Diceros bicornis minor: one gene and its partners. The protein of the gene in region 2 binds, or shares a complex with, the protein of the main gene of each other region. Links are inferred from orthologs where the notes say so. Each region holds a gene or a part of one and is shown on either strand. Other genes may lie near its edges.

Region 1 (7,748 bases), on a different chromosome or scaffold from region 2:
ACAAATAACATTTCAACATTAATTTTAGACATTTTTTAAGAAGCAAAAGAAATTACCCACAGTTCCAATATTCCAACAAACCACTATTTTCGTCTGTTCACATTTCCCTCCAGTTCTTTTAAAAGCTTTCTTCATAAACAACTCAATAAAGTTAATAGGATCTTAGATACTCAGAAACAATGGCAATACAGAAGATCTGCAAATAAAAGTTATTGACTTTCAGTCTGGGGGTGTCTCTTACTTTTCTTTTCTAAGATATTCAAATTTTTTTTCTATGATTTCGATGACCATTGGTCTTCTGAGTTTTGCATCTCCTAGAGAAGGACTGGGCTGACCATGTGTGTATGTTGCCATCCTGATGTCCTGGAAAACACAAAATTCCAGAACCATAATAGCTAACGATATTAATATTAAATCTTAAAAATTCTACAGATTCAGATTAAAAAACATTTAGACCCCAGTAATGTGTCAGGTAACTGTCATCTGCTTTCACACACTTTGTTAATGATTCAGTCAACATTTAGTGAGCTCTTACGATCTGCTAGACAATCGCTTTTTGATTCACACAATAACTTTGAGAAACTAGTAGGATAATGATCATCTCTACTTTTATAGATGAGAAAAATGAGGCTCAGAAAGGGTGACTTGCCTTAGGACTTAGTGTAGAAGGATAACTTATTGAAATACTGAGTTTTTGTTTTCCTTACAGTTTTCCCTGAAGGTACCCAGGCCCTTTGTTTTAGTTCTCCTTGCTGTAGCTTTTTCAGAGCTGGAAGGAAACAGTAGCTACTTGTTGACAACTATCTCTATCCTCTGTCTCATGAAAGCCTGAGCTCATTTTGGAGATTATGTTGAGTTTCCTGGAACGGCAGGAGAGAGCGGGGATTGCCTTAGAGAACAGCAAGAGAGAACACCAGAAGGAGGGACACTCTTCCAGGCCAGGAAGACATAGTGGATCATGGCTACTTTGGATCATATAAGTTATATATCCAGCTCTCTAGCAGCACCTTGGGCAGAAGCAGGGCCTTTGCTGGAAATTGCTATTTGGTATACCACGGAGCCTGGACACATGGCACTGGGCTCCAGGGTTGGAAGGTTCCTGTGTCCCAAGTGTGATGTATGAACAGACAGTTGCCAATGTCAAGGGACCATAAGGGTTTGGCTAGTAGCTTCTTACCAGAAACCAGTGGTAAAAAAAAAAAAAAAAAAACCTGGATCCTCAGAAAGGATCTTTTCTGAATCTTTTGCTCTGGGTAAGATTCTCAGATCTCTGTGAAAAGTCTTAAAAATAACATTTGTTAAATCTTTTACTATGCTGCCATCAATGGGATTCCAGATTAGCCAATGAACGAATAACAAAATCTCTGGCCCTTCACATTTTATACCAGTCTCCATTTTAACAACCTTTATAGTTAAGGGCATGGATTAAATCTCAAATTTCAGAAGTCTTGGGCAAGAGAATAGAGTAGAGTAAGCAAAATAAACCGAGAAGATACTTAATAAATCAGTGATTCTCAACCTTTAGTGTGCACAAGAATCACATGGGGAGTTTATTTGAAATGCAGTCTCTTCAGCTCCCTCCTGAGATATGTGTATTCAAGAGGAGTAGGGTGAAGCCTAGAAATCTACATTTTAGTAACACCAAGTGATTCTGATGCTGGCAGTCAATGGACCCATGGTGAACATCACTGTAATACTCATTTGCTAAATAAGTGATATGTACCAATCCTAATCCTAACTAACAAAAGGCCAATTCATCCATGGCATCAACATCCTAAAGGTATGAGTTCCTTTGAAACTTCATATGGTATTACATTATGAATAATAATGGACCAGTTTCTTCCCCTGCAACATTGTAGAACTGTACTCAAGCCAGTTCTCTTTCCCTAACATATCTGAGGAGGACAGGAAAAAAAAAAATGTTACAAATTACAATTTCTCAGGGACTAGGTTTAATCTTTTTTCTCTCTCTGACATTTAAATGGAAAATGGAAGAGAAGTGATAGTAATATCTAAGGGAGATTCTATATCTAATCTATCTAACGTACCACGAAGGCAGATGTCAGTAACATGATAACCAGAAACCTTGGACAAATTTTTGTTTTGCAATCATCCCATTCATTGAAGTCCCTTACTCCCCACAAAGAAAACTTTCAGGCAATGCCTTGTACCAACCTCCTACCTTGTCTACAGCCTCAGTATCTAGGGAACACAGACACTCAGGATTATGATCTCAAAATACTGAAACACGACAGCAAATATTTATCGAGTGCCTAGTCTTTGCAAAGCATTGTTAATAAAGCAGAGAAAGTAACTGGTCACTTTCTGATAGATTGTTAACAAGTACTGAAATGTAAAGATTTTGCTATAACCAACATTTTATCTAAAAATTAACTAGTCTAAGGCCACTCAACTGGTCACCACGATTGTACCAGTAAGAGTGCATTTATGTAGGTTTATAGTTTACAAAGCATTTTACGGTTTTGTAGTGCTTTTATTCATATTATTTCACTTGACTTTCAGAATTTTATTCGACATTCACTCATCATTTACGGAGCACATGGTATTTGACAGCCCCTCCCACAGCCCCCACCCCCGCACCCATAATCAAGATCCTCACGAACCCACAACCCAGCCGGAAGTCAGGACTAGAAAGGCAGGCAATTTAAACGCAGGATGAGTGTGCCATCAAAACAAAACAAAAAACATAAGAAAAGCCAAACATAACCTAGCCAGGGGAAGTGTGGGAAGGTTTTCTGGAGGAGGGGACATTTAAACGAATATCCGAAAGAGGAGAATTTGGCGGAGGTGGGGTGGGGAGGCACAGGTGCAGGGAGGTATTTCAAGTTGAAGCAAAGGCCAGTGCAGACGCTCGGAGGCAAGAGAAAACAAGCTGCAAGCTACCAGGACTAGATTTGAGGTCTCCTACTTTCTCTTTGCCTCTTTCCATAGCAACTGAGGACTAAATTAAGTACGACCTGCATGGATGTGGGAGCTGGTCTCTTTAGATTTTCAAATCCCTTTTACATGCCTCATTTCAGAAGAGTCTGCCAACACTTTGAGGCTGCAGAAATCACTGCCCACAGAACTCCCGGTTTTTGCCTACCTTGGGCGCTCCCCCAGCTCCCACCTGCACACCTGCGTCCCTCAGGTCAGCCCCAGCCTCACGCCCCAGCGCCGCCATTTTGGCGGCTCACGTGACTTGCGGGTGGGCGGGAACCCAGAACGCCCAGGGTGGGAAGTGGTGCCGGCTCACGCGTCTCTCCTGCAGCCGGGGCCCGCCCCGACCCAGTCAAAAGCCGCGCCCTCCATCCTGGCTGTGATTGGGCTCGGCGTCCTGAAATTACTGCCGCTCATTGGCTTCGAGGAGGTCCAGTCGCCCGTGGGCCCGCCCCTCCTCGCCAGCCCTGCGTTCCCTTCCCTTGCTGTTTGTTCGCCTAGCTCGCTCTTCTCCCACCCTGAGGGGAATGTGGGGCGTTCCGAGCGTGGGGGTGTTGCTTCGCGCTGTCCTCCCCTCAGGGCACCTCCGTTGGCTGCGGCCGAGCTGCCTGCCCCTTTCGCTCCTCGAGGGAGCTGGCCCCTCTGGCCTGGTCCGTGTGTTAAGACTCCAGCTTCTCGGACACCTCCTCCCCAGAGCCCCCAGCCGGCCGTCAGCACAGCCCCGACTAGCCTCCTCCCCTCGCAGCCGCCTGACTCCTCTCCCCAGTCTTGAGTCCTCTCACATTCCACCCTTTCACCCTGCTTGGAAAGGGACTGGAGAGAAGTTTGCCCCCCACTCTCCGAGAAGACCTCCTTGCCAGCCGGTGTTTCGGGGTGGGGGACGCTGCGAGGAGGCCTGGCGCCCTTTTGTGCACGTTCATTGCCCAGCAGTATCTCCCAGACCAGCAACCCCCGACCCTCCAGTCTCCATGTCTTAGAGAAGCCAAATTCGAGAGTTATATAATTTCTAGTGCTGCTGTTCCTCCTGCCTGAGGAAACACTTCGTCGCGTGGAGGGTGCAGGACATTTCACTGCTCTTCTGTATAAGAGCGGGGTGTGGGCAGGGGTGGCCAGCGGTGGCAGAGAGATTTCGTGTCTTTTCCGCAAAAGGAAGGTGGGTAGTTTGGAGAGAGATTGAGAAAAAGGGTGGATGTGGAAGCCAAGCAGCCGAACTCTCTCGTTTAGGAAATCGCGAACCGTTTGCACAGCTTATGCTTACATGCCTAATACTACTACAGCGTCTCAGAAAACACCTTTGGGGGAAGGTTTGACTTCTCCTCGCGAACAGTCTCAGTGTTTTTCCTCGCCGGATAGGGAGCTGCTTGGATGCGAAGAGATGGCATGATGTGAATGACTCCAGTGTGAAGAAATCTACTTCGCCAACTCATCCTGCATCAAGTGCCCATTGAGTAGCACTGTCACTTTAATGTCTCCATGCCAAGGGATTGCTTTCCTCTTTTCAATCCTCTCGGTTAATACATGGGAGGATCAGAATCAGAGGGGCTTTAAGGATAAAGCCTGAGGGGCTTGGAGAGCACAGAAGAAAAAAATGGAAGTGACAGCAAGCTGGATTCTGTCTTACTGAGGGGATGATCCGGAACTTATGGTCCAGTAAATAGAAAGGGGCCTTTCAGTCTCTGTTCTGCCCCAGAAAACTGTTCAAACTCACCCACCTTTTTAGAGACCAGAGTCAAAGAGATTTTTTAAGTATTTTTTTTTTGGAGGGGGTTTAAAATTTTCTCTAAAGAATTGAGAATCTTTATCGTCAAGCGGTTCATCTTTGAATTTGATCATATATAGAGTAATGAGACAGCTGTGTAAATTTGGTTTGTGCCTTAATTGAGTTAGTCACTGAACTCCAAAAATGTTGCTGCCTGAAGGGGAGTTTTAATAACGTTTTCTATGCTTACAATAATTTTCTCAGCTTTTTTTTTAAATAGAACAAATATTTTATAAAAATTGAAAAACTCAAAAGTTATTTTTCTCTAAACTGTGTGGGCAGTGTCAAAAGTTTAACTGTGGAAAATATACGTCTTTTTTTCTTTATGTGAAAGAGAAGACAGCCTGGATTTCAAAACTGAACAGTAAAGTAATTTGCAACAGTTACCTGGCTCTTGGCCTCAATCCAGCTGGATCAAGTTGAGACCTGAAAAGAGATCTTGAATCCTGTGGCAGTGCAAAGACCCAAGAATGCCAGTCAAAAAGAAAGGTGGGCTATGAGGCTTCCTGTATAGTATATGTTTCTTCATGTTCTTCATTCTGGTATTCGCAATTTAAATTGTATTCCATTTGAGAGTAAAATTTTGTTTGAGTTTGGGGAAATATTTACTGTAATAATGTCTTTTCAGTGATACATCATTCAGTAATATTATTTTGCTAAAGTGAAATGAAGTAGGACTATAGTATTTAATTACAGACATTTGTGATTTCATAAATCAGGTTGTCTAAATCACCATTTATAATCAGCGTAGATTTGATACCACAGGTTTTGATTTTTCTTTAGCTTGTTTTCTTAGCTTGTTAAAGGTTACTTTAAAGAATCTTTAAAAAACTTGTACAGTAGAGTTCTTCCTCATGGATTTAATATTTATCAAGCAAATTACATAGTTGTAAAAGATAGTAAAGTTGTTTGCACTGAAAAAAATTATAGACTTATTATTTATCTTTTGATTAAAAAATAGATTTAGTATTTGGGTTTACACTAGTGTAAATCTTCACTTTTGTGAAAAAGCACAACTTTGGTAACTGTTGTGCTTTTCAGATGCATGCATTATCCAATAACATGATTGGCAAGTTCCCAAAATGAAGCAAACACCTGACACTCTGCGCCCAACCCACCCCCCCACCCCGAATTGATCAAAATCCAGTGGGTTCCTGAGGTATAGTTTATTATAGGTCAGATCTTGAGGATTCACTTTAGCCTAGATCTACCAAGGTGAACTTTGTTCTTAAGGATCCTAGTGAAACAGGTTTGGTTTTTTTGACGTTGTATGGAAGATCAGATCAACTATAAAGAGTTTTCTTGAGAGTTTTGAACCAAAATTTATATGAACACCTTTGAACTCTACTGTACTGGGCTAGCATAGATCCAAATGTTGACTAGTTATATGAGTTGCTGCAGTCTGAGACTAAAGCCCAGGGTGAAGGTTAAAGTGCAACCTGGTTCTGCATGATGTTTAATCCTTCTACCTGTGGATTTGAAAGGTGCATTGAAGAAACTTATAATCAGTGAGATGCTTTATCCCAACTGGTATCTGTAGAGATGAGCAATGATATATAAAACTTTTGAAACACCTAGAACTGTCCCTTTATACACTGGGATTTAAGACTGGGATTGTTTCCTTCTGCTCTCCCCCATAATATCACTGAGAGAAGTAAACTATGAGATTTTGGAGCCACACCTGTCCAGACCTGACACAATTGGTTTATCTGGAACAAGAGTGGTTTTGGGAATGTAGCAAATAAAAGATATGGCTCTTTGACTTATTTAGCTTGCTGTGTGTTTTTACTCTGTCTACCATTTATTGTTCTGTACACAGTGTCCCTTTTGGACTACTTTATTTTAGACTACTAATTGAATTAAACGCTTTATGTCTGTGTGTGTGTGTATGTGTGAGAGAAAGAGAGAGAGAAAGAAGAGAAGAGGGGGAGAGAGAAAGGAGAGAGGGAGGGGGAGAGACAGAGAAAGGCATAAAAAGGTATCTGGGAAGGAGGAGGAGGAAGGGCAATTGATGTTCTAGGTATAACTTAACTAAGCAGAGTGAACTTAAGGTTTCTAAACCCAATAGACTGAGTTTATTAAAAGTTCCTACCTTTAAAGGAAAATTGCTGATACGTTATTGAAAATCTTACTTTATGAGAAATAATTTGATATTTATTTCCTTCCTTCCCCCTCCCTCTCTTCCTTCTTTCCTTTCTTCCTTTCTCTCTCCCTCCCTTCCTTTTTCCCTCCCTCTCTTTCCTCTCCTCTTCCCTCCCTCCTCTTCTTTCTTTCTTCTTTGACAATGGTTTGATAGTAATGGATCAAATTTTTTAAGGAATCAATCAGTTCTAATTAGCAAAACATGTATATATGTGGATTATACTAAGATATATGCATTATGTAATTTACCTAGAGAAGTAGTTTATCTTTTTTTAATAGCTTAAAACTATTAGTATTAAGATATATATTTTTGAATATTATAGACAACTAGCCAAACAAGTTATGACCTGTGCATTATATTTTTAACTGGTTAAGCTTACTATCTATACTGTTTCTAAAATATAAGTAAAACAAATATTTTAAAGTATAACCTAGATTTATTCTGCACTGTCCTCTGTCATCTTGAATCTTTTTTCTTTTTTTTTTTTTTTTTTTTTGTGAGGAGATCAGCCCTGAGCTAACATCCGCCAATCCTCCTCTTTTTTTGCTGAGGAAGACGGCCCTGGGCTAACATCCGTGCCCATCTTCCTCCACTTTATATGGGACGCCGCCACAGCATGGCTTACCAAGCAGTGCGTCGGTGCACGCCCGGGATCCGAACCAGCGAACCCCGGGCCGCCGCAGCGGATCGCGCGCACTTAACCGCTTGCGCCACCGGGCCGGCCCCGAATCTTTTTTCTTTTTAAAGATTTTATTTATTTATTTTTTTCCCCCCAAAGCCCCAGTAGATAGTTGTACGTCATAGTCGCACATCCTTCTAGTTGCTGTATGTGGGACGCGGCCTCAGCATGGCCGGAGAAGCGGTGTGTCGGTGTGCGCCCGGGATCTGAACCCCGGCCGCCAGCAG
Region 2 (7,859 bases):
TTTCTCAAAATGTTCAGAGATCCTAAAAATATCTCAATTACCACTACATTTAAACCAATGAAATGAGAAAAACAAATATCAAAATAATAGGATTTTATAAAACTAGTATTCCCAGCATGCCCCAATCAATATAGAACCAGCATAGTTATAGTCAAGTTCTGCACAGAAAAAAATCTTCTAATAAACTTCTGCCAGCATGAAATAAGCACCTACTATTCGATGACCACTGTCCAACATGGTTCACACAAACCTAATGCAGTATATTAAACATAAATAAGGGAATAACTTCTAGGAGTCTATTTGAAACAGAAAATTAAATGAACCAACAAAGCTGAAGCAGGTTACACATATTTTTCAAGGCAGAGAGATAGGGAGGCACCAGTGTCTGAAACAATGAACACTATAAAGTTAAATACGGTACCAGGGACTCAGACATCACACAACCAGGGAACTACTATGTCAGTTTCTATAAGTCCTGCAATTTGAGAATAATATCCCAAACTACCACCCAGAAGCCTCTTAAAGGAAAAGATTGTGAGTCCTGTCTACACAAAAATGTAAAACATTAGCATAGCAAAAGATATAAAACAAAGTTAACAGGCAAATAGACTGAAAATATCTGCCACATATCTAACAGTCAGTGGGTTAACATCTCTACCACAGAACTCCTACAAATCAATAAGGAAAAGACAAAACTCAATAGGGAATAGATTATAAACTATTTCCCCCTGCTTTGTTTTTCAAATCTTAAAATGCTGCTCACAGCTTCTTCACAGCATTTTTTCCGGGGCCTGGTCCTCCACTCATTGAAGTTGTTATTCAACTCACTCTCTGAACTACCCCCACAGAGCTATAACATGGTCTCCAGGAAGACTAAAAATTAACCTTATGTGCTCTTCATTTAAAGGAACTATAGCATAATCTACAAGACCAACATATATCTGATAAGAGACTTGTATCTAGAATATATAAAGAACACTTACAATTCAACAATGAAAAGACAACCTAACTTAAAAATCAGCAAAGGATATGAATAGACGTTTCTCCAAAGACGATAAACAAATGGCTCACAGCACATGAAAACATGCTCAACATCATTAGCTATCAGAGAAATGCAAATCAAAACCACAATGAGATATACTTCACACCCACTAGGATGGGTGGAATTAAAAAAACAGATAATGACAAGTGTTGGCGAGGATGTGAAGAAATCAGAACCGTCATAGACTGCTGATGGGAATATAAAATGGTGCAGCCGCTTTAGAAAACAGTCTGGCAGTTCCTCAAAACGTTAAACATAAGAGTTACCATATGACTCAGCAATTCTACTCTTAAGTATACACCCAAGAGAAATGAAAACATGCTGTTCACACAAAAACTTGTACATGAATGTTCATAGCAGCATTATGACAGCCAAAACAACTCCAATGTCCATCAGCTGACCAATGGATAAATAAATAGTGGTATATCCACACAATGAAATATCACCTAGCAAAAAAAAAGGAATGTACCGATACTACAACATGAATAAACATAAATGTTAAGTGAAAGAAAACAATCAAAAAAAACCACATACCCTATCATTTCATTTATATGGATTGTCCAGAATATGCAAATATATAGACAGTAGATTAGTACAGTAGTTGCACAGGGCTAGGAGTAGGGTTGAGTAGACGGGAAATCAGAAGAGACTGCTAATGGGTACAGGGTTTTCTTTTTGGGGTGACGAAAATGTTTTGAAATTGATTGTGGTGATGGCTATACAACTTCGTAAGTGTACTAAAAATCAATATATTTTAAATGAGTAAATTCTATGGTATGCGAACTACACCTCAATTAAGCTATTTTTTAAAAGGACTGTAGATTGTGACTTTTTTTCCCGTTATATCCCCAGCTCCTAAAACACTGCCTAGCAATATCAGGAATTCAATAAATTCTGACTAAATGGAAAAATAAATTTCAAAATGTGAGCAAACCATTATAAAACCTCGTCATATTCAAAGTCATGAAATTACTGCAGGTTGGCAAGGCGGGAGCATACAGTACGTATCTATAACCGTGTTTTTCATAAAAGGAGATGAGACTGAAAAACTCAGTAGAAGCAAGACCTTGAAGGGTCTTGATGCCAGGCTAAGAAATTCGTATTATCCTGAATCAACGGGAGGACCAATAAGACTTTGAGAAGAATAACACAATCAGATCTGTGTTTTAAATGTGCAAAGTGTAAGTGGTGTTGCTATTCTGTCCAAAGCTGAAGTAGAGCAATAGCCCTCAGGTGAGAACGGGGAGGAGCTGGGGGAAGAAATGAGAAGCAAATGTCAAAATGTAAGAATCTTTATGGGTTTCTTAAATCACACAGCACACCGCGCGCGCGCGCGCGCGCGCACGCACACACACACACACACACACACACACACACACGCCCCGTCACCCACACTGAAAATCACTTGTATGGTCAGCCTCTGTATGGAGCTCAAGTTCGATGGGGACAAAAACTATTATGACCACTGCGCCAGAAAATTCTCTCGCACAGTCATCTGGGCAGGGTCCTCCTCAGAGAGTCGTGATTCAGGACTACCAACAGAGCGCCACTGTCGCCTCTCCGGGAGGACCCCGACTCTTCACAAACGGGCTCTTGGCACGCCCAGGAAGGACCGCAGGGCGAGGCGACGGTCAGCTGCGCACGGCCTCACAGCTCCAAGGGGACGGGCGCCTTGCAGCGTCTCAAGGCGCGGAGCCCACCACGGGCCCCCAGGCGCCATCCACGCAGCCCAGGGAGGTCGCGAGCCGCCGGGAGGTGACCCCTGAGGGGGCTGCCCTTGCAGCAGCCCGCCCGCCGCGCAAACGCGGCCGCCCGGACTGCGGGAACCAGCGCTTCTGGCGGTAGGAGAGGCGCGCACCCCTCTCGCGCATCCCAGGCCGAGGGGCGAAGGCTGACCTGTCAGGGACACAGGCACCACGCGGCAGGAAGCAGACGGGCTCCTTCCGGATGTGGGCAGTGGGTGGGCAGAGCCGCGGGTGGGCGCGCCCCGCGGGGAGCAGTCGAGACTTCCGGCGTCGCCGCCTCGCGGGGCTAGAGCGTCGGGATGGCTGGCGCCCGAAGGCCCGCGAGCGGCTGGGCGCGGGCTGGGACGGCCTGGGCTGTGTGGCTTAGCTTCCTAGACGCTCGGATTTGCGTCGGGAACGGGTTCGTCTCCTCAGATCCCCGCTTTTTGTTTTATACGTCCCGTTAGCCCCCAACACACATATGCAGTCCGGGAGCGCTGGCCGAGGAAGTTTAAAGCCCTGGTTCCTATTGCTCCCCGCAGAGATCTGACGCTTCGGCTCTCCCGCGAGGACGCGAAGCCACGGGGATCTGAGCCCCACGCTGGCGGTGAAATCCACCTTGCCCTATTCGGCTGAGAAATTTGGCAACGCTCAATTTTCTTTTATTCACCAAATATTTATGAAATGCCTACTGTGCTCCAGGGAATGCAAGGGTAAGAAAAAACTAATGGTCTCTGTTTTCATGGAGTTTAGTAGTAAAATAGATAATGATAGAATCCTACAATGGATAATGATAGTACCTCATAGATTTCTTGTGAGGGTGTAAAGCACTTAGAATCGTCTGGCACTTTGTAAGTGCTCAATAAGCGTTAGCTGTTATTTTCATCTTGACCGTTCCATTGCCATCATCACCACTGTTTTCATCATCATTTACATTTTCAATGTGAAGCTTAGAGTCCAAGTACCTTTCTTCCACAAAGCAATGAGTCTCACGATTGATGGGTCACCTAAATGTGATGTGTTCATACACATCATAACCATAACTCCAGGGTGATGGAGTTATGGTTACCGCATAACCATAGCCAGACTATTCAAGTTTAGTCTAAGGCTGTGGTCTTCAAACTCTTGATCACACCTCCCTATCAGAAATAAAATTAGATTATATACGCGTACTATGTATGGTATTGATATATATTATGCATACTATAAAATTTTCACAAGAAATAGAACTTTAGAAAGGTGAAATAAAAATATTAATAGAAGTTCTGTTTTCTGCCCATGCAACAAATAGGTTGCCATACATACATGCCATCACTTTGGAGTCCACTGGCTAAAAGAGCACATTATCAAAGAGGCCTGTCATTAAATTATGGATCCCCAGAATAGTTCTTTTATGAAGAATTAATAGAAACTAATCAGATTTTAAGGTGCTTGAACTATAAGGACTATTTGAATGGTTCCTTACATCAGAGGAAATGAAGAAATAAAATAGGCATCCATTGATTAATCTTCATTGATCTGACATTGATTATTGACTTCTTAAAACCCAAAGAGATTAAGATTGCAATGTCTGGGGCCAGCCCAGTGGCGCAAGCGGTTAAGTGCGCGCACTCCGCTGCGGCGTCCCAGGGTTCACCGGTTCGGATCCCGAGCATGCACCAATGCACTGCTTGGCAAGCCATGCTTTGGTGGCATCCCATATAAAGTAGGGGAAGATGGGCACGGATGTTAGCCGAGGGCCAGTCTTCCTCAGCAAAAAAAGAGGAGGATTGGCAGATGTTAGCACAGGGCTAATATCTTCCTCACAAAAAAAAAAGATTGCAATGTCTTACACCAAGCTTGAGATTTCATATAATAAATCAAGTAACAAAAACCTTATGAGGTTTTGTATATGTGTATTTTATACAGTATTTGTGAAAATGAACCCTGGATCACTTAGCTCCTATACCATACCAGAAAGAGAAACATGATTACTTTGTAAAAAGAAAGCATAAAATAGGCTTTTCTGACCATTTGCTTGAAAACTCAGAATTTACCTTTCTATCACTGGACTTACATCTACTAAAGTTTTGATCTAAATTTTAATATGGTTTAATAGTTTATAGTTAATGTTGGTATGTATCTGATATTTATTCTCCTCTTACTCCTTTGTTACGAAACCCACATCTTGTTCAGATAGCCACCCTATTCCCAGCACTATAAAATGATACTGATTAAATCTAAACCAATCACCATACAGAATTCCTCTAGGAATAGTTGTTGGTCAAGGGATGAGCAAGTGCCTCAAGTTAGCTCAATCAAAGCTGATGCTGAGGACAGCTGAACAAAGTGATAGAAATATTATTCCAAGCCTGGAGCTCACCCTCTTTATGAACTTCTTGTAGGGATATCTGATGTTTCCTTCTTGTTTTCTGATAGAGATAGTGTGAAGATTAAATGAGTTAAAATAGTGCTGGTAATGTTTTAAACGTTCAAAATGTTAGTTATTATTGTTAAGTCAGCTTGAGACAAGGATTCTGTTTCTTATAGTCAAAAGTATCCTATCTGATTCATACCTCTCTCTCTTTTCTTTTTATTTATTTATTTATTTTTTTGTGTGTGAGGAAGATCAGCCCTGAGCTAACATCCGTGCTAATCCTCCTCTTTTTGCTGAGGAAGACCGGCTCTGAGCTAACATCTATTGCCAATCCGCCTCCTTTTTTTCTTCCCCAAAGCCCCAGTAGATAGTTGTGTGTCATAGTTGCACATCCTTCTAGTTGCTGTATGTGGGATGCGGCCTCAGCATGGCTGGACAAGCAGTGCATCGGTGCATGCCCGGGATCTGAACCTGGGCCACCAGTAGCGTAGCGTGCACACTTAACCGCTAAGCCACGGGGCTGGCCCTGTCTCTCTCTTTTTTATATATTTAAGGAAAGAATCTGTTTCACTACCTCTTAACTTCTAAGGAGCCAGGGCAGGGGTAGGAGGTGGAAAGAGGAGGAGTGTTGGCTATAATGCTGTCTATGAGGGGTACTGTTAAGTGGTGAGATGGCCACTTTGAGAAATGCACTCAACAATGGCAGGATCCAATACAGCATATCCAGTATTTCAGCAGCAGCCTGGAACTATCAAATCTGAATGGAGTTACTACACATGGTAGTTGTTTATATACGTGGACATATCATTTTCTGCATATTAATATTTTACTCTGCTACCTTACTAAGTTACCTTATTGTTTGGAGTTGATTCTTTTATATTTTCTAGGATTGCAATCATATCATTGAAATAGTGATAGTTTTACCTAATCCTTCCAAATTTTATACAGTCATACATCGCTTACTGACAGGTATACATTCTGAGTGTACTTACACAAACCTAGATGGTATAGCCTACTACACACCTAGGCTATATGGTACTAACCTTACAGGACCCCCATCATATATGCAGTCCGTCGTTGACCGCGAAACCTCATTATGTGTTGCATGATGTTGGGGAAGAGGGAGAATGCCTCCCCACCCTTTCCTTTAAGGTTCTTATGGCTGGCCAAATAATTAAAAATGCAGGCTAGCAGGAGAAAATCAAACAAAGTTTAAGAACATGTATACATGGGAGAAACTCAGAAAATAGAAACTGAGCAACTCGTGCTTCTGACTAAGCTGCTCACTTAAGTATTTTCAGCTAAAGGCAGGGAGGTTGTTGGGGGTAGTGGTTTGGGATTTCAGAGGGGAAGAAGACAATTCACATGGAGATGGAAATGCAAATGTTTGTCAGGCAGATCTTTACAGGGCCACCTATAGAGAATGTGGCTGGAGAGACAGAATTTTTGATAAGATGGGCTTGTTGGTGCCTTTCTTATCGCATTTATTTTACATTATATACTACAGCCATCATATGGTAGTGGCTCCTTCCTGTAACAGGCATTCTACATTAAATTCTTTAGGCAGTTTGGGAGGGGAAGCTCAAATGTTCTCCTGCATCTTCTGAGCCTTTATTGTCTTATTATGTCGAAATAATCCACATACCAGAGTGGCACATCTTCGGGCGGCTTGCCCTGAACACCATCAATGACTGTACTTCTAATTTCTCATATCTAATTGCATTGGATAGTATTTCCAGCAAAAAATATTTAATAATAGTGAAGACAGTGGGCTTCCTTGTCTTATTCCTACCTTTAATGGGATATCTCTAGAATTTTCCCATTTAGCATGCTGCTAGTTTAGGGGACTGAGGTAGATATCTATTATCATGTTAAGGAAGTATCCAGCTATTGAGAGAATAGGGAAAAATTTGACACAGAGGCTTTGAGAAAACAAAGCATTGAGCATGCCATTGCATCTTGTCATAAAACTAAATGTAAATTAGACAATATTTGCCTCAAAGACACTAATAAAATTAACATTAACTAAGTGGGATGAATGTTCTTTCTTACTTATCTTACGTACTATCATCATGAAATTGAGTCCTGACTAGTTCGTTTACAAGAAATTCCCTTGTGATATCCTGATTTTTAACCCTGGAAAAGTTTTTTGTTATCTCTTATAAAATGTCACCTTTAATCCAAAGTCTATGCTTGTTCTACATGTTTGTTACAGGAAATTGCATGGATCTACTGTAGTTTTATAGGAAATTGTAACAGTTCAAATATGCTGGTTGTAGAAAATAGGGACAGTTATAATGATAAGGAGGTTACGTCATCACGAAGATATAAAAATCCCAAAAAGGAGAGAAGTTAGAGAGGAAGAAGACCAAATTCTGTGTATGAATTGCCCATATTTCTGGCTGACACCTGAAACACACACATGTGGAGCAGACTTTTGAGCTATCTGAGGCTCAAAAACTGAAGAGAGACATCAGCTGCTGCCCACCACAGGTGAGACTGGCAGAATGAAAAGAGAAATAGACAAATCCACAGTTATAGTTGGATCTGTCAACACTTCTCTCAGAAATTAGCAGAAGTTCTAGATAAAAATTTAGTAAAGGGCTGGCCCCATGGCTTAGTGGTTTAGTGCGCGCGCTCTGCGGCTGGCAGCCCGGGTTTGTATCCCAGGCGCGCACTGTCGCACTGCTTCTCCGGCCATGCTGAGGCTGCGTCCCACATAACATCAACTAGAAGG
Region 3 (8,028 bases), on a different chromosome or scaffold from region 2:
CTACCACCAAAAGATAACTGCTATAGGGAGAGAGGTCTCAAGTGCATGTAAGAATGCATCTCTGATAGCAATGTACAAAAACCAAACGTGGTGCCTCACGGGTGCTGGGTTCAATTTCTACCAGCAGTTTTTAAATTTTTTAAAGCAGTGGAACCTGTTTTTTTAAATAAATCTAGTGCAGAAACCAAGTATGTAAAACAGATAAAAGCGAAGCTGATCTGGTTGAGGCTGCGGATGGGGAGGTCACCCAAATGCCTCCCACTCAACTCCCCCGTGGTCCCTGCAGTAACTCCAGGGGAACTTCCATGAACAGCAAGGGTCCAACTGAGGGCAGAGTGACAGCTTCTAGCCCAGATGATCTTGAAGGGGTCTTTCTATTCTAAAATTCTAAGCATCTCAGACACGACATTCCTGCTCAAACCTCAGTAATGCTGTGAGAGATGATGTTGGCCTAAATCAGAGCTCTAGGGTAGAGGTGCTTAAAAGTAGTCAGATTCTAAATATAACCTGAAGGTAGAGAAAACAGGATTTACGGTCGGATTAGAAGTGGATTATGAGCAACTATGACATACAACTAGCTACTGGGGCTTTGGGGAAAAAAAAGGAGGAGGATTGGCAATAGATGTTAGCTCAGAGTTGGTCTTTCTCAGCAAAAAGAGGAGGATTAGCACGGATGTTAGCTCAGGGCTGATCTTCCTCACAAAAAAAAAAGTGAATTATGAGAATAAGAGGCAACAAAGGTGACTGCAAGTGTTTGGCCTGAACAAGTAGAACAACAGAGTCACCACCATCTACCATAAAGAAGACTAGTGGGAAGAAGATTGGGTGGGGAGACCAGGAACTCAGTTTTAGATATGCTAAATTTGAGATGCCTATTAGACATCTAAGTGGAGCTTTTGAGTAGAAAGGTAGATATCAAGAGTCTGGAGTTCAGGGGAGAAATCTGAGCTGGAGAAATAAATTTGAGCCATCAGGATATTGATGGTATTTAAAGCCACAGTACTAAATTAGATCAAAGGAAGGGGTGTAGATGAAAAGAGAAGTCTACAGATTGAGCCTTATAAAACTCCAAATCGGACTACGCTAGTAGGAGACACTGGCCAATGTCTACAGGTTAAGGAGCCAAGAAGGAACCAGCGAAGGAGATCGAGAAGGCTCAGCCAACGAAGTAAAGAAAAAAACCAGGAGAGAAGGGTTTTTTAGAAGCCAGGAGTGATGAACTGTGTCAAACACCAGTGATGGGTCAAGTAGGATATGGAATGAGAACAGACCACTAGACTTGACAACATGGAGATCACAACTGACTTTCATGAAAGCAGTTTTAGCAGACCGTTAAGGACAAAAGCCTGAATGGTATGGTTTCAAGATGCAGCAGAGAGGGAACCACTGATGATGTAGATGAGAAAGGAGGGAATTACTGGAGGCATGCCCGTGAGGAGGTGACAACGCATATGGTCTAGGGACAAGGTGGGCCTTTGCTGGGAGTAGAGTTCATCCATAGTAATAGAATGTAGACCCTATGCACATATGTGCAGAAAGGAGGGGGTAAATGTGGTGGAAGTTCTCAGCTGACTGCATATATTTTTTCAGTGAAGTAGGAGGCAAAGTTGACAGGTGAGAATGAGGATGGGGAAAGAAGCGTGGAGAAACAAAAGCATGAAAGATCTGTGTTCTTTCTTCACCAATGTGCTGGGAGGCACGAAGTGCCAAGATAGAGCACCACACAGCCCCAGGTTCTGGGAAAACTGGTTTCCCAAACGTTAAAACTTGGCTTTGCACTTCCTAGCAGGGCAAATCACTTAGTCAGTTTCAGCTTCTGCGCCTGTAACGCCTGACAGATTAGAGAAACACTCTAAAGAGAAACCACCGAATAACTCCTTAAGTAATAAGAGTATCAGCCAACATCTCAGCCAAGTTCAAAGCACTTTACACAAATTTCTCCTTGGTTTGCACCACACCTTTAGGAAGGGGCAAGTATTGCTCTTATTATTTTGTAGATTAGCACACTGAGGCACAGGAAGGTGAAGTGACTAGCCCAAGGGTACGAGACTAGTAAGTGTGTTGAAGCCACATTAACTACCTACTCTGCCGCCTCTTGCATCTGCACAGTACCTTACAGGTTAAAATGCATTTCCACGGACTATATATCTCATTGGGGCTTTCCAACACATCTGTGAGGCAAACCATGTCATTTTAAAGCTGAAAGATCTGAGGCTCAGTCACAGAGTCCAGCTCAAATCCAAGTCTTCCACAAACAAGAGGATAATGAGTGCTTAATAACTAAACTGTCCCTGTTGGATAACAGCTGGGTTACTACCGGGCTGTACCAACCATGGAAGGGATGAGGTGAGGAAGGCACCTCAGAGCCAGACTTCTAAAGAAACTTAATGGCAAGGTGAGGCACAGGGACCAAGCTGTGGACGCCCAAGGGCTACGGGAGGCTGACAGAGGAGACGCACGGGCTGAACTGTGTTTAGGAATCAGAGAGGACGCCCGTACATTCCGGCGCCAGGACACTGAGTTCAGGGCTGCATTGCCACGCCTAGGGTTTCCTAAATTGGCCTGACAAGAATTAGCCGGAACACTTGTCAAAACCATGGTTTCTTCAGGACCCCCTGCCCGGGGAAGGTTCTAGTGGGGCTCAAGAGTCTGGAGTTTTAGGGGCCAGCCCAGTGCCACAGCAGTTAAGTGTGCACTCTCTGCTGCGGCAGCCTGGGGTTCGCGGTTCGAATCCTAGGCGCGCACCCACGCACCGCTTGTCAAGCCATGCTGTGGTGGGGTCCCATAAAAAGCAGAGGAAGATGGACATGGATGTTAGCTCAGGGCCAGCCTTCCTCAGCAAAAAGAGGAGGATTGGCAACAGACGTTAGCTCAGGGCCCGTCTTGCTCCAGGAAAAAAAAAAGTCTGGAGTTTTAGCATACCCCGCCCCTCAGGTATAGTGGTCACGCAGGTGTGGGAACTCTGACAAAGACTGACTCCAGTCGTTCCTGCTAAGGGCCAAGAGGGGGCAGACAGCAAGGGTCGGCTCTCGCTCGGGGTTACCTTCTCAATTTTGCCCAGAAAGAGCTCCTTGGCGAAAGCTCGGCTCAGCGGACTGGTGCGCAACGGGCGACGGCTCGCGGTGAAGGCCACCACAGCCCGGCACGCACGTGTCGCCGCCACCCCCCTGCGCATGAAAAGCCCGCAGCCACTCATGCTGCCCGCAGCCGCCCACACCGCCGTCACTGCTGCCGCCATCTTCTTCTCCGCGCCTCAGTCACGTGCATCTAGCTCGGCCACCGGATGACGCCACTGGCCTGCGCCACCCCGCCGGCCGCCATTGCGCTTGCGCAGTCTCCCTCCCCGGGAGGTAGGCGGGGCGAGGCCGGCGCCATCTTGGCGGTTTCGTGCTCTGGCTGGTGGTGGCGGCGGGAGGGTCTTTTATTTTAAATACCAGCGATTGTTTTTATGCATGCCAGTCCGGGGAAGCTTCTCATGGGTGCGGGGACCTAAGCTGTGGCCCAGCGGCCTCCACTTGCTTCCCTCTCACCAGTTGGGGCGACGAAGACGTAGGAAAAACTAAAGCAAGGGAATGGGAGGAAAATTGACGCTGTTGGTTATTTCTCGAGGGGAGCTGAGTACGAGTACTGTTCCGTTTTTTAAGTGGATGGGGGATGCGTGCGGATTCATTTTGTTTTGCTTAGTAGCCTACACATGTATATGTTACGTATGGGGTTGGGGAGAGGACAAGGGGTGTTCTGCCAGAGACAGGCCTGGCTAAAACTCGGTGAGTCACCGCTACCCTGGGAGACCCCAACGGAAAAGGCCGGCGGGGCAGAGAAGCTGCGAAGGAACCGCGAAGAGGCGGGAGGGGACAGGCGCAGGGCCCGGGGAGGGGGCTGGGCACCCCCGCGGCGCCGAGCGACGCCCTGAGCCGGCGGGCGGGGGCTCTCCAGGGTCCGGCGGCCGCCCCTCTGGGAAGGGTTCCTCTCCCGGCCGCACTGTGCTGTACCGGACGACAGCTTTCACCACGGTGTTGGAAAAGGCTTCTCCGTCATGTGAACCGGGGAAGAGTACGAAATCGCAGTCCCCTCAGCGGGTAAGCCCGGCCCAATGAAAGATTACCTTGTCTGGGTGCAGACTTGATGACACAACATCAGGGGAAAAGAGCTCAACGACTTTTCTTGGTTGCGGAATATTTACAAGCATCTTCTGCAGTGTGCTGTTTTGTCTAAAAGGCTTGTCACCTGGTTTCTTCGTCAGTGGTCAATATTTGCCTAATTCGAGCATTCAGCTTCACAAGAAGGCATTTGGAAACAGCTGCCTTTGTGAATTAACCTCAATCGCGAAACAAAATCGATGTTGCAAAAACGGCTTGAGTTCGAACTGGTGTACGTTTTTGCAAAAACAAATGTAGTCAGGTCAATCAAGTAATCTGATAATACGTGAGATCCTGCTTAGTGTACAGAGGTCACTCTAAATTAAACAAATGAGAAAGTCAGTGGCACATATTTTCCAAAACAAAAATTTTAATCATAATTTTTAAGTATTCTAGTAGATTGTAGTGGAAAAAGATTTTGGAATTCCACTACGTTGCCAGTTTCTTAGTTGAGTTTCCTCATCTGTAAAAATGAGTATATACCATTTATCTCACAGGACCCTTGTGAAGATTAGGTAAGCATCTGGCACAGTGAATGATCAATGTTTTATAGTAATAAAAATGGAAAATGGTTACACTCTGATAATTTCCATCTTATACTTGAGTATTTGCCTCTGAGAAATAGGATGCTGTTTTTAAACAATTTGCTGTAAACATAGAATTTCCCGTATTCGGTGCTTAAAACACCCTCACTGAGTATCTCTGAATGTCCTTCCTGTATGAGCACATCAATACATCTTATTCCCATACATAACTTCCCAGCAAATAAGCTGACACTCTTATGTGGCCATAATATTAGTGTTAGTATGCCAGGATGCTTGGCTTTGGGTCTCAAGCAGGTTGTCTGACTCAAAAACTACTCTGAAATCCCTCAGTGTTAAAGCTGCAAAGTCAGAAGCTAATGGAGAAATTTACACAGAATTGGAGATAAGAAAGAATTAGATTTGTCTCCTGTTCAAAGGTTACAAGATCAATAATCAGTTGTGTGAGAAATGAGTTAGTCTAGTCAAGGTTCCTGTCTCAGCAGTCAAAATCCTAATAAAAGGGCTCACAAATGAGTTGTATAAATTTTATCACCAGTTTGTTTCCTGCTGAGAGAGAAGTTGGCTGACACCTTACTGTCTAGAGATCAAACATCTGTGTGTAGAGGGATGTCCTTCAGAGAATACTCTTGTTGCATACAATAAATTATGCTGTCTACTATTACTTCCTTTTGATGTATATTTGTTCCCATTTGGGGTACGTTAGTTCTTATGGAAACATGGAAGTCACTGGCTTGTTGAAAACCACAAATGTAATGGAGTGTTATGGGTTAAATTGTGTACCCACAAAATTCATTTGTTGGAGTCCTGACCCCCAGTACCTCAGCATGTGACCGTATTTGGAAATAGGATTTTCTATTGCATTCCGTTGCAGATGTAATTAGCTAAGTTAGGATGAGGTCATACTGGAGTAGGGTGGACCTCTAATCCAATACGACTGGTGCCCTTATAAGAAAGGGAAATTTGGACATAGATATGCACGTAGGGAGAACACCATGTGAGGATGAAGGCAGAGATTGAGATAATACTTCTACAAGCCAAGGAACACCAAAGATTGCCAGCAAACCACAAGAAGCTAGGAGAGAGGCCTGGAACAGATTCTCTCCCACGGCCCTCAGAAGGAAACAACCCTGCCAACACCTTGATCTTGGACCTCTAGCCTCCACAACTGTGAGACAATAAATTGTTTAAGCCACCCAGCCTGTGGTTCTTTGTTACAGCACCCGTAACAGACTAATACATGAGGTATTGTGATTCTTGGCACATAGTATTAGAAATAAATAGGTCCTAATAGTGACTACAGGACTGGGGCTATATCTTAGAACCCATGCTTACACCCAGTAATCCTGCTATGGTCTGGAATCAATAGTCTCCTAAGTGATAGGACACTGGCACAGTTAAATACTTTGGGAAAGCCCCTTAGACTACACAGCCTGTACCAAAGTTAGGAAAAATAGCAAGATGTAGGGAAGAGACTATGAACTAGGAGTCATGATAAGAGATCTAGTCCTAATTCTGCCATTTAGCTGTCTGATTCTGGACAAGTATCTCTACTGCATTGTCTATGACTTGGAAGCGCTGCTGTGGCAGAGACAACTAGTAATCAAAAAATTGTGCCCACTTCCTTAGCGTGCAGTTGTCAGCACAACGCAGCCGCCAGCCAGGGACTACATCGCCCAGTCCCCCTACATCCAGATGACATTCTCACTAACGTCATGTGAGTGGCGATAATGTGACTTTTGTCCAGTTTTTAAGAAAAGAGTGGCCATTCTTGGCCACCCCATCTTCCACCAGCTGGCAGCAGAGGACTGTAGGCCGCAGGGGATGGCAGTACAAGATGGAAGGAGCCTAGGTCTTTGAACCAACCATGTGGGGGATAGCCATCAGCAGAATAGGAACACCTACATCAAACTGTTACATGAGCAAGAAATATGTATTGTATTAAGCCACTGACGTTTTGGGGTTCATTTGTTATAGCAGCCAGTGTTAACTAATAAAAATACTTTCCGAGTTTCAAAGAAAACACTATAAAGTACAGGATAAAGAGTCATCATTACTAGGGGCCAGTCACATTCATCAGGCAGACTGAGCCCCAAGCAACAACATTGTTATTATTGAGCCCTATCCTGGTCATTGGAGACAGTGTCCTCAAACAGAGTGATAATAGCAGCTAATATTTAATGAGTGCTTTCTATGCCAGGTACTGTTGCATGTACTTTACCTGTGATACATCATTTAATCCTCTAAACAGACCTGTGAATTCGGTGTTGTTACTTTATGCCCATTTTACAAAGGAGAAAACAGGCACTGAAAGGTCACACAGCCCTAAATAACAAAGCCAGGCCCTGGACCCTGCCAGCTGGCTCCTAGAGTCTTGTGTTCTTATCCCCCTATACTGCCTTCCTGAGGGTAGAAGGCGAGAGTTAGGTGAATAGAGACTCAGACACCCAGTCCCCTTTCTTTTCTCCATTATTGGTGTTACCAGGCAAGTGGGCCTGTGGCCTGATGCGCATGAAAAGCCAACACTATGGCACTGGTTTTTGAGAGAAGAAAAGGCTTTATTGCGAGGTCAACCAGCAAGGAGACAGGAGGCAAGGCTCTCAAATTTGTCTCCCCAATCCAGGGTTTGGGGCAAAATTTAAGAGGTTAAGAGGAACAGGCTGGTATGTGGAAGCACTGGTGGGGCAGGTTTCGATTGGAGGGCTTTAAACATTTACAGTAAGGTGTGGAAAGGGACTAACACTGGATCTTCCTGGACAATGGACTCCTCACCTCTGAAGAGAGTCCAGCGTTTGAGTTCCCGTGGTCCTTTGGTTCCATGCGGGGAGACTCTGCTTCCAGGTGTTATTTCAGGTCAAAATGTTCTCTCCTGCGCGTGCTGCAGCTACGTGACTTGCAGTTTTGGCTTGCTGCCCCTGAAAAACAACTTTAACATTCTGGTGTTGATAAGATGGGGTCAGTTTAAACTGGTCCTGTGGTTACATTGGCTACCTGAAATATGGTCAAATTACTCTGACAAATACAAGTCAGAAGCCCCTTGAGGCCTTGCTCTCACTCTCCACTTCTGCCAGCTCATTGGGGATGATATTACCCACAGGCAAAGATTGCAGGGAGTGCCAGGCACAGCACGTGGTACGTGGGCGCTCATTTCACATCTTTTCTGTCCCTTCTTTCTTACATGTAATTGTCAGTCTGAATATTTTGGACTCGTCTAACAAGTCTTTCTGCCTAGCAATGTATTTTCAAAGAAGACGCATTAATCCTGTTCCTCCCACCCCACCACCCCTATGTCTTGGGCAAGTCACGTCCTATCCCTGAGTCTCAGTTTCCTCACCTATAAAATGATG
Region 4 (8,027 bases), on a different chromosome or scaffold from region 2:
TATCTTCTGATCCATGGACATGGGATACCTCTCCATTTCTTTAATTTCTCTCAACAATGTTTTATAGTTTTCAGTGAATGAGTCTTTTATTTCTTTTGTTAAGTTTACTCATATTTCACTCTTTATGAAGCTATTGTATATAAGATTATTTTCTTAATTTCATTTCCACATTGTTCATTGCTAGTGTATAGAAATACAATTTATTTTTATATGTTGATCTTGTATCCTGCAACCTTACTGATCTCATTTCTTAGTTCTCATAGCTTTCTATTGGATTCCTTAGGATTTTCTATATACAAGATCATGTCATCTGCAAAAAAAGATAGTTTTACCTTTTCCTTTCCAATCTGCATGCCTTTTATTTCTTTTTCTTGCCCTTGCTGGAACTTCTAGTACAATGTTGAATAAAAGTGGTGAGAGCGGACATCCTTGTCTTGCTCCTGATCTTAGGGGGAAAGCATCCAGTCTTTCATCATTAAGTATGACGTGAGCTGTGGGTTTTTCAAAGATGCCCTTTATCAGGTTGAGGAAATTCCCTTCTATACTGGATGCTGAGTGTTTTTATCAGAAAGGGTACTGGATTTTGTCAAATGCATTTAGTTGCATCTATTGAAATAATCATGTGGTTTTTGTCCTATATTCTATTAACATGGTATATTACATTGACCTTCAGATTTTAAACCAACCTTGCATTCCTGGGCTAAATTCCATTTGGTCACAGTCTATAATCCTTTTTATATGTTGCTAAAATTTGGTTTGCTAGTATTTTGTTGAGGAATTTTGTGGCCATATTCATAAGAGATATTGGTCTGTAGTTTTCTTTTAGTGTCTGTTTGATTTGGTATTAGGGTAACGCAGGCCTCATAAAATCAGTGGAAAGTGTTTGGATCATTCTTATCACCATTTAAACTTTTTCTAGCATCTCCCATCTTGACCTGAAGTCTCCCTCCAGCCTCTGCTCCACATCTCTGTTCTCTTTACAGCAAAGCTTCTCCTGAGAGGTGTCTACACACTATGTTCCTTCCTCACTCTTTCCAACTTGGCTGTAGCCCCAAAACCCCACTGACACCACTTATAAATGCCCCTTGTGTGTTCTACACTCACCAAAGCCAGTGATTACTTCTCAGGCCTCACTTTGCTCAATTTCTCAGAAGCATGTGGCACGAGTGGGGCCCTCCTCCCACCTTCTTGACACTCTTGATTTTCTTCCTAGCACCCGGGCCTGTTTCTCAGCCAATCAGCAGGACCTTCTCCTTCTCTAGAGTTTGCAATGTTTGCAGACATGAACGCACAGATGAATCACCTGGGATCTTGCTAAAATGCAGATTCTGATTCAGCAGGTCTGGGGTGGAGCTAAAGACTCTGCACATCTAACAAGTCTCTGAGTGATGCTGATGCTGCTGGTCTGGAGACCATACTTTGCGTAGTAAGGCTGCAAAGAGTCCCACATACTGGATTGGTCTGTCTGCTTCCCTGAGGTGTCATTCAACTTGTTCCCCTCTTCTCTGTATTCCTGTAGGCAGCTCTAATGGTTCTCAAATTTTGCTCATATTAGAATCATCTGGGGAGCTTTAAGAAATCCCCATGCCCAGGCCATCCCCCAGACACATTAAATCAGAATATCTAGAGGTAGGGCCCAGGCATCAGCATTTTAAAGCACTCCAATGACTGTAATGTGCAGCTAAGAGTAAGACCTTGATCTAAACCTTTGCTACTTAAGTGTGTTCCAGGGACCAGCCACATCAGCAGCAGCATCTGGGAGCTTATAGAAAATGCAAAATCTCAGCCTTAATCCAAACCTACTGATTCAGAAGGTGCATTTTAACAAGAATCCAGGAGTCCAGGTATCTCCTACATGTGCTAACGTCTGACAAGCGATGACGTATGTGCTGATGGCTCCCAAAGGCTTATGGCTGGCTCTGAGCTCCAGCCCCCATACCTCGCTGCCACCCTGGCGTACACCCAGCCGTCTCACACTTAATTTGCTCCAAACTGATATCCCTGCTTAAACTTCTTCCTTCCCATCCTAGCCAATGACACCACCATTCCTAGTCATTCAGGCCACAAACCGAGGAGTTGTTTCTGAGTCCACTATGTCCCTCACTCCCCTATTCAGTTCATCAGCTGGTCCTGGGAACTACTTCCAAATCCATCTCAAACGCATCCATTTCTCTCTATCTGCAGGCCACCACTCCAGTCCATGACCTCTTTCCAGAATACCCACCCAGCCTCCCACTTCTTTCCTTACCTGCCTCCCATCAGTTCTCCCCACCATGGCCAGAGAGAGCTTTTAAAATGTAAACTAAAGTCAGTGTTCTCTGCCTAAAATCACTAATAGTCTATCACACTTAGAAACAGACAGGGTCTACTCCTCCAAACTCAACTCTCATCACTGGCAGCTCCAGCTATACCGTTCCTTAAACAAGCTAAGTTTATTTCAGCCTCAGGGCCTTTGCAGCTGCTTTCCCTCTGTTTGGAAATTTCTTCTCCTAGATCAGTCCATAACTGTCTCTGGTCATTCTGGTCTCTATTCAAACAAGAGGCCTTCCCTGACCACTGCCCCACTCCCACTCTACAGCCCCCATTACCCTGATGAATGCATTTTTAGCAGTTATTAGCATCTGAAATCACCTGTTTCGTTTATTTCTGATTTGTTCAAAGTTTGGCTCCCCCAGGAAATAGGGATTTTTTGTCTGTCTTTCTCATTGCTATGTCTCCAGCACCCGGGACAGTGCCTGGTATATATCAGGTATCTAACAACTATCAGTTGAATGGGAAGAAGAGCTAAATTTCTACAAAACGTCTATAAATCTGAACCCCTAGGCAGGGTGCACCTACAGCAACTCTGGGGCTGGCTGGCAGGATTCCGGGTCCCTGGGGGGAAACAGGTAGACGCGGGTTCGAACTCCCGCCTAGATGCCGACTGGCGGGGTCATCTCTGGAGACAGCCTTAACCTCTCTCAGCCTCAGCTGTCTCATCCGTACAATGGGAAATCAGGGACGTGAGAAGGCGGGTACCCGGAGGGCGGCCTTTCCCAGCACGTCCCCGCCCCACACTCCCAAAGGTCACGGTGCCCTGGCCCTCCAGCCGGGCCCCTCTGGGGCCGCCCTCCCGCCCTGCCGGCCCAGAACGGGCCGCCCCGGGACCCAGCAGTTCGCGCTCGCCTCCCCACGCGCGACCTACCTACTCACGCGGCCGGCCGCGGACTCCGGGCCGGCTCTGTCGTGCTGCTGGGCGCCGCCATTTTGCCCAGAGAGCTTCCGGGTCATGGGCCGCCAGGGAGACAGCAAATCGAGAACGCCAGTTTAGAGAGGGCCCGCCCCAAAGGGAGGAACACCAATAGGAAGGCGGAGAGACCTTGGTCCCGCCTCATAAGGAGCCAGGCCCCGCCCCTAACGAGGCAGGCCGCACCCCCGACCTGGGAATTGAGGAGTACCGCCCGGGAAGGAGTGAGTGGACCGTTCCCGGGCTGGGACGCTGGATTTGGGGGGACCTGTGAATCCAGCTAGCGGCCCCAGTTTTTCCACCTGAAATGGAATGAAATATTAAAGGTGGGAGTGATGTGGATTCCTTCATTTGTTCAACAAACGTTTATTGAGCGCTTACTGTGTGCTAACTGCGCTGAGGATATGGCGCTGACGTCAGTGAAGGAGACAGGCTCTGCTAATCTAGCTCCGTGACTCTGGGCCAGTGCTTAAGCCAAATGTGCCTCGATTGTCCCACCTCTGAAATGGGCAAATTATAATAACTTCATAGGGGTTTTTGAGGTTTAATTAAGTGAATCTATGCAGAACAACCATATAAGTGCTTGCTATTGTTATTATGGGGGATCCTCGCTAACACCTCCCTCCACCTCCCCCACTGGGATGGTATGGCGTCTAGTTTGACGCCTTGGGCCACCCTCACTGAGGGCTGAGGGTCCTGTGAGACACAATTCATGACTGTGTCTTGTGGCCGCGGTGTGTGTGTAACTGCGATGTTGGGGTGACAGAGTTGGGGGTTTTTCATGCGTTTTTGTAGTGTCTCAAAACTCGAGCAAAGGTGTCTAGGTGTATGTGTGGCTGGGTAAGTGCGGGTCAGGGATGGTCCCCGTGTGTGTGTCAGTGTGAGCGAGGCCAGTCTGGGAACTGGTGTGTGCAGGTTCTTGTGTGTCCACGTGTCAGTAGCTACATGGGCACCTGTAATTGTACCAGCTTCTGGGTGTCTGTGATTGTGTGTATGTATGCAGGGGGTGGGTGGAATTTGTCGCACGACTCTGAGGGGCTGGCAGTAGGTGTGTCAACATTTCTGTGATCATTCGCCTGCCGTAATGTGTGTGCGATGGTGTGTCTGAACACCGGTGGTCGATGACTGTGTTTGTGATGCCTCTTGTGTTCTGAACTTGTGGATAAATGATTGTGTCCCACCGTCGAGGCACATGTGACCGTGTGTGACACCCCATATCTGTCTCTCTGCGTGTGATTGTGTCTACCAGCATGTGTCTGTGATGGTAAGAGTCTCTGATTCCCTGTGTGCGGCAGGCCTGTGACCCTCGATAATCCTCTTGCCTCAGGGCGTGGCAACATTGGAGATGGTGCAGCTGGCATCCGGCCCGCCGGCTGCAGGAGCTGGGCAGTCGGGCAGAGGAGGTACCTGGGGCGTGGAAGTGGCCACAGCGCAATGACCATCCCTGCCTGTCCCTATGGCGCCCCGCTCCCATGGTTCAGCCTTCTGATTTCATCTTGCACCAAATGAGCCCCTGGGCGCTCAGCCAGCGGATGTTCCGCAGCCTCTTGCCGCGTGGGAGAGCCTTGGACTCGCGCAAACGCCTCCAATAGGACGCCAAGTACTGCGGGGGCGGGGCCTGAGGGGCGGGGCCACGCGTGGGAGATGGGCGGGGCCTAACTGGCCACTGTTTGCGCTCCAGGAATGTGTCCATTCTCCTCTCCCCGGCCATCAGCGCTCTCGGCCAGTCCAACCTGCTCTCCGCGGAAACAGTCAGCACCAACCTCACTCTGTAAGAGGCAGCTGGGCCCAGGTGGACCTTCTCCACTTCACTCCCACCCCTACCCTGCGCTCCTGTCGGGGTGGGGAGCTGGCAGCATGGGTGTGTGTGGGGGGAGTGGACACTGCTGAGGGTGTCTAGGTGAGGAAGAGACGCCTCCAGGAAGGTTCTCAGAGTGAGCCCCAGGAGGCTGCATTAGCTCGCAGACTTCTGTGCCAACTTGTGTCTGCTCTCAGCCCTTTGCCAATTTGGGATACTTGGGTCTGGGGACCTGTGGGGGCCTTCCTGCTCCTCTCCTGGATCCCTCTCCCCCTCCCTCACCCCTGACCCCCACTCTCCTGTCCACAACTGGTTGCTGAGTACAGTGAGCTGCCCCCGAAACTCGCTAATGACCTTGCTGACTGGTGTGTCCATGGCTGTAGTCTATGTAGCTGGCATCGCTGTAATGAAGTTCTAAAATTTGAGAGGTGTTGACTGGTTATGCTGGACATTCTCAACATCCTGTGGATGTAAATCATCGTGCTGTCCAGGGCCTGAGACAGGGGAACCCTCATGCTCCAGAGCAGAGTGTGGGAAGGGATTGAAGAGATGTGCAAGAGCTTCCCTCAACCGTGCTACAGACTTGGGCCAGGGCCACAGTGGGGGAGGTTGTCCCTGGGAGCCTGAGGCTGTGCCCACCCCACCAGGAGAAGGCTTAGACTCACTCAACAGGTATTTATTGAGTGCCCCCTTTGTACCAGGCACTGTTCAAAGCATTGAGGAACAGGAGTGAGCAAAAAAAGATTCCTGACCGTGGGGAGCTGGCATTCTAGTGGAGGAGATGGACAAAAGACCCATGTTCTATAGAAATATTTTACAACTATTCGTAGCTTGAAAAAAATTAAGTACAACTTCAAAACTGTTTAGGATATGACTTTGTCTATCATCTTGTTAACCTTAATCTATTTTGAACTTGGAACATGTGACCTTTTGAAATGAACAGCATTTTCTTTCTTTTTTTTTTTTTTTTGCTGAGGAAGATTCACCCTGAGCTAACGTCTGTTGCCAGTCTTCCTCTTTTTTATTTTTTATGTGAGCCACTGCCACAGCATGGCCACTGACACTTGAGTGGTGTGGTTCCGTGCCCAGGAACCGAACCCGGGCTGCCGAAGCAGAGCGCACCAAACTTTAACCACTAGGCCATTGGGGCTGGCCCATGAACAGCATTTTTTAATCTCTTTTTGCTTGTGTGTAGAAGTTGATTCTCTGTGTTCTGTGTATTAATTTAGATATTTAGATTTGTCTTCCATCATTCTGTCATCTCAAAGCATCAAAATACATTCATTAATTCAACCAACATTTATATGCATTTTAAAACAAATATGTATTGGGTGCTAGATCCAGAAGGAAATATAAGATTAATTGAAAAAAGAAAAATAAATTTAAGTGCTTAGAATTTGTTTCCAAGAAAGGGCATATGTTCATGAAGTAGAAATGTAGGGCCGGCCCCGTGGCTTGGTGGTTAAGCGCGTGCGCTCGGCTACTGGCGGCCCAGGTTCGGATCCCGGGCGTACACTGACGCGCTGCTCGTCCGGCCTTGCTGAGGCCACGTCCCACATACAGCAACTAGAAGGATGTGCAGCTATGACATACAACTATCTACTGGGGCTTTGGGAAAAAAAAAAAAGAAATGTAAAATGCTACATGTGGTTAACAAAATGGTTGATATTAACCAATAGATTAAGAATTTTTTATTCATTTATTTTTTGTTTATTTATTTATTTTTTTGTGAGGAAGATCAGCCCTGAGCTAACATCCATGCTAATCCTCCTCCTTTTGCTGAGGAAGACCGGCTCTGAGCTAACATCTATTGCCAATCCTCCTCCTTTTTTTTTCCCCATAGCCCCAGTAGATAGTTGTATGTCATAGCTGCACATCCTTCCAGTTGCTGTATGTGGGACGTGGCCTCAGCATGGCCGGAGAAGCGGTGCGTCGGTGCGCGCCCGGGATCCGAACCAGGGCCGCCAGCAGCGGAGCGCGCACACTTAACCCCTAAGCCACGGGGCCGGCCCTAAGAATTTTTTAAAAAGAAATATTTTATAGCTTGAACTGCATGACGATTACGTGGCTATATGTATGTAAAAATTCGTTGAGCTCTCCATTGAGATTTGTGCATTTGAGTAATATCTCAATTTAAAAGTTTTTAAAAGTTATCATGGATTCATTGAGCTATAATTTGTACACTCGTCTATATGTATGATATACTTTAAAAGTCTATTTAAACACTCTGCTTCCATTAGGATGGCCATTATCAACAAAATAGAATCTAACAATTATTAGCGAGGATGTGAAGAAAGTGGAACTCTTGTACATTGCTCGTGGGAATGTAAACTGGTTCAGCCACTGTAGAAAACAGCACGGCATTCCTCAAGAAATTAAAAATGGAGTTACCATATGATTCAGCAATTCCACTTCTGGGTAGATACCCAAGAGAACTGAAATCAGGGACTCGAACAGATAGGTCCACACCATGTTTATAGCAGTTGGATTCACAATAGCCAAAGCAACTGAAGTGTCTGTCGACAGATGAACAGGTAAATAAAATGTGGTATAGACATACAATGGAATATTATGCAGCCTTAAAGAGGAAGGAAATTCTGATACAGCCTACAGCATGGATTGAGGACGTTGTGCTAAATGAAATAAACCAGTCACAAAAAGACAAACACTATATGATTCCACTTACATGAGGTCCCTAGAGGAATCACATTCATAGAGACAGAAAGTAGAATGGTGGGTGCCGGGTGCTGGGGGAGGGGGATGGGGGGTTAGTGTTTAATGGGGACGGAATTTCAGTCTTGGAAAATGAAAAAAGTTCTGAAGACGGATGATGGTGATGGTTACACAGCAACGTGAATGTTCTTAATACCACAGAACTGTACATTTAAAAATGGTGCATTTTATGTTATATATTTCACCACAATATTTTTAAAAGTCTCCTTACAAAGAGATGAGTAATGTAGACAGAAATGAAGCAGAGAAAGGGAGGAGGTGCTAGAGGGG

What was found.
Region 1: cytochrome c oxidase assembly factor 1 homolog (region 2) and TMEM126B share a complex: the UniProt entries of both Homo sapiens proteins name them as parts of the mitochondrial complex. The link is inferred for Diceros bicornis minor from reciprocal best matches to the Homo sapiens genes COA1 and TMEM126B.
Region 3: cytochrome c oxidase assembly factor 1 homolog (region 2) and ACAD9 share a complex: the UniProt entries of both Homo sapiens proteins name them as parts of the mitochondrial complex. The link is inferred for Diceros bicornis minor from reciprocal best matches to the Homo sapiens genes COA1 and ACAD9.
Region 4: cytochrome c oxidase assembly factor 1 homolog (region 2) and ECSIT share a complex: the UniProt entries of both Homo sapiens proteins name them as parts of the mitochondrial complex. The link is inferred for Diceros bicornis minor from reciprocal best matches to the Homo sapiens genes COA1 and ECSIT.

Annotation. Positions count from the first base shown.
Region 1 is NC_080746.1:46,900,811-46,908,558, forward strand, and holds the start of TMEM126B (complex I assembly factor TMEM126B, mitochondrial), read right to left. Parts: upstream 3,207-7,748; 5' UTR 3,185-3,206; coding exon 3,107-3,184; intron 364-3,106; coding exon 242-363; intron 1-241. Other genes in the region: DLG2 (disks large homolog 2), read left to right, coding at 5,170-5,188. UniProt on the Homo sapiens protein: As part of the MCIA complex, involved in the assembly of the mitochondrial complex I. Participates in constructing the membrane arm of complex I.
Region 2 is NC_080780.1:901,191-909,049, forward strand, and holds the start of cytochrome c oxidase assembly factor 1 homolog, read right to left. Parts: upstream 3,012-7,859; 5' UTR 2,939-3,011; intron 1-2,938. Other genes in the region: BLVRA (biliverdin reductase A), read left to right, coding at 3,446-3,479. UniProt on the Homo sapiens protein: Component of the MITRAC (mitochondrial translation regulation assembly intermediate of cytochrome c oxidase complex) complex, that regulates cytochrome c oxidase assembly.
Region 3 is NC_080741.1:89,663,571-89,671,598, forward strand, and holds the start of ACAD9 (complex I assembly factor ACAD9, mitochondrial), read right to left. Parts: upstream 3,242-8,028; 5' UTR 3,239-3,241; coding exon 3,044-3,238; intron 1-3,043. UniProt on the Homo sapiens protein: As part of the MCIA complex, primarily participates in the assembly of the mitochondrial complex I and therefore plays a role in oxidative phosphorylation.
Region 4 is NC_080769.1:7,999,747-8,007,773, reverse strand, and holds the start of ECSIT (evolutionarily conserved signaling intermediate in Toll pathway, mitochondrial), read right to left. Parts: upstream 3,251-8,027; 5' UTR 3,185-3,250; intron 1-3,184.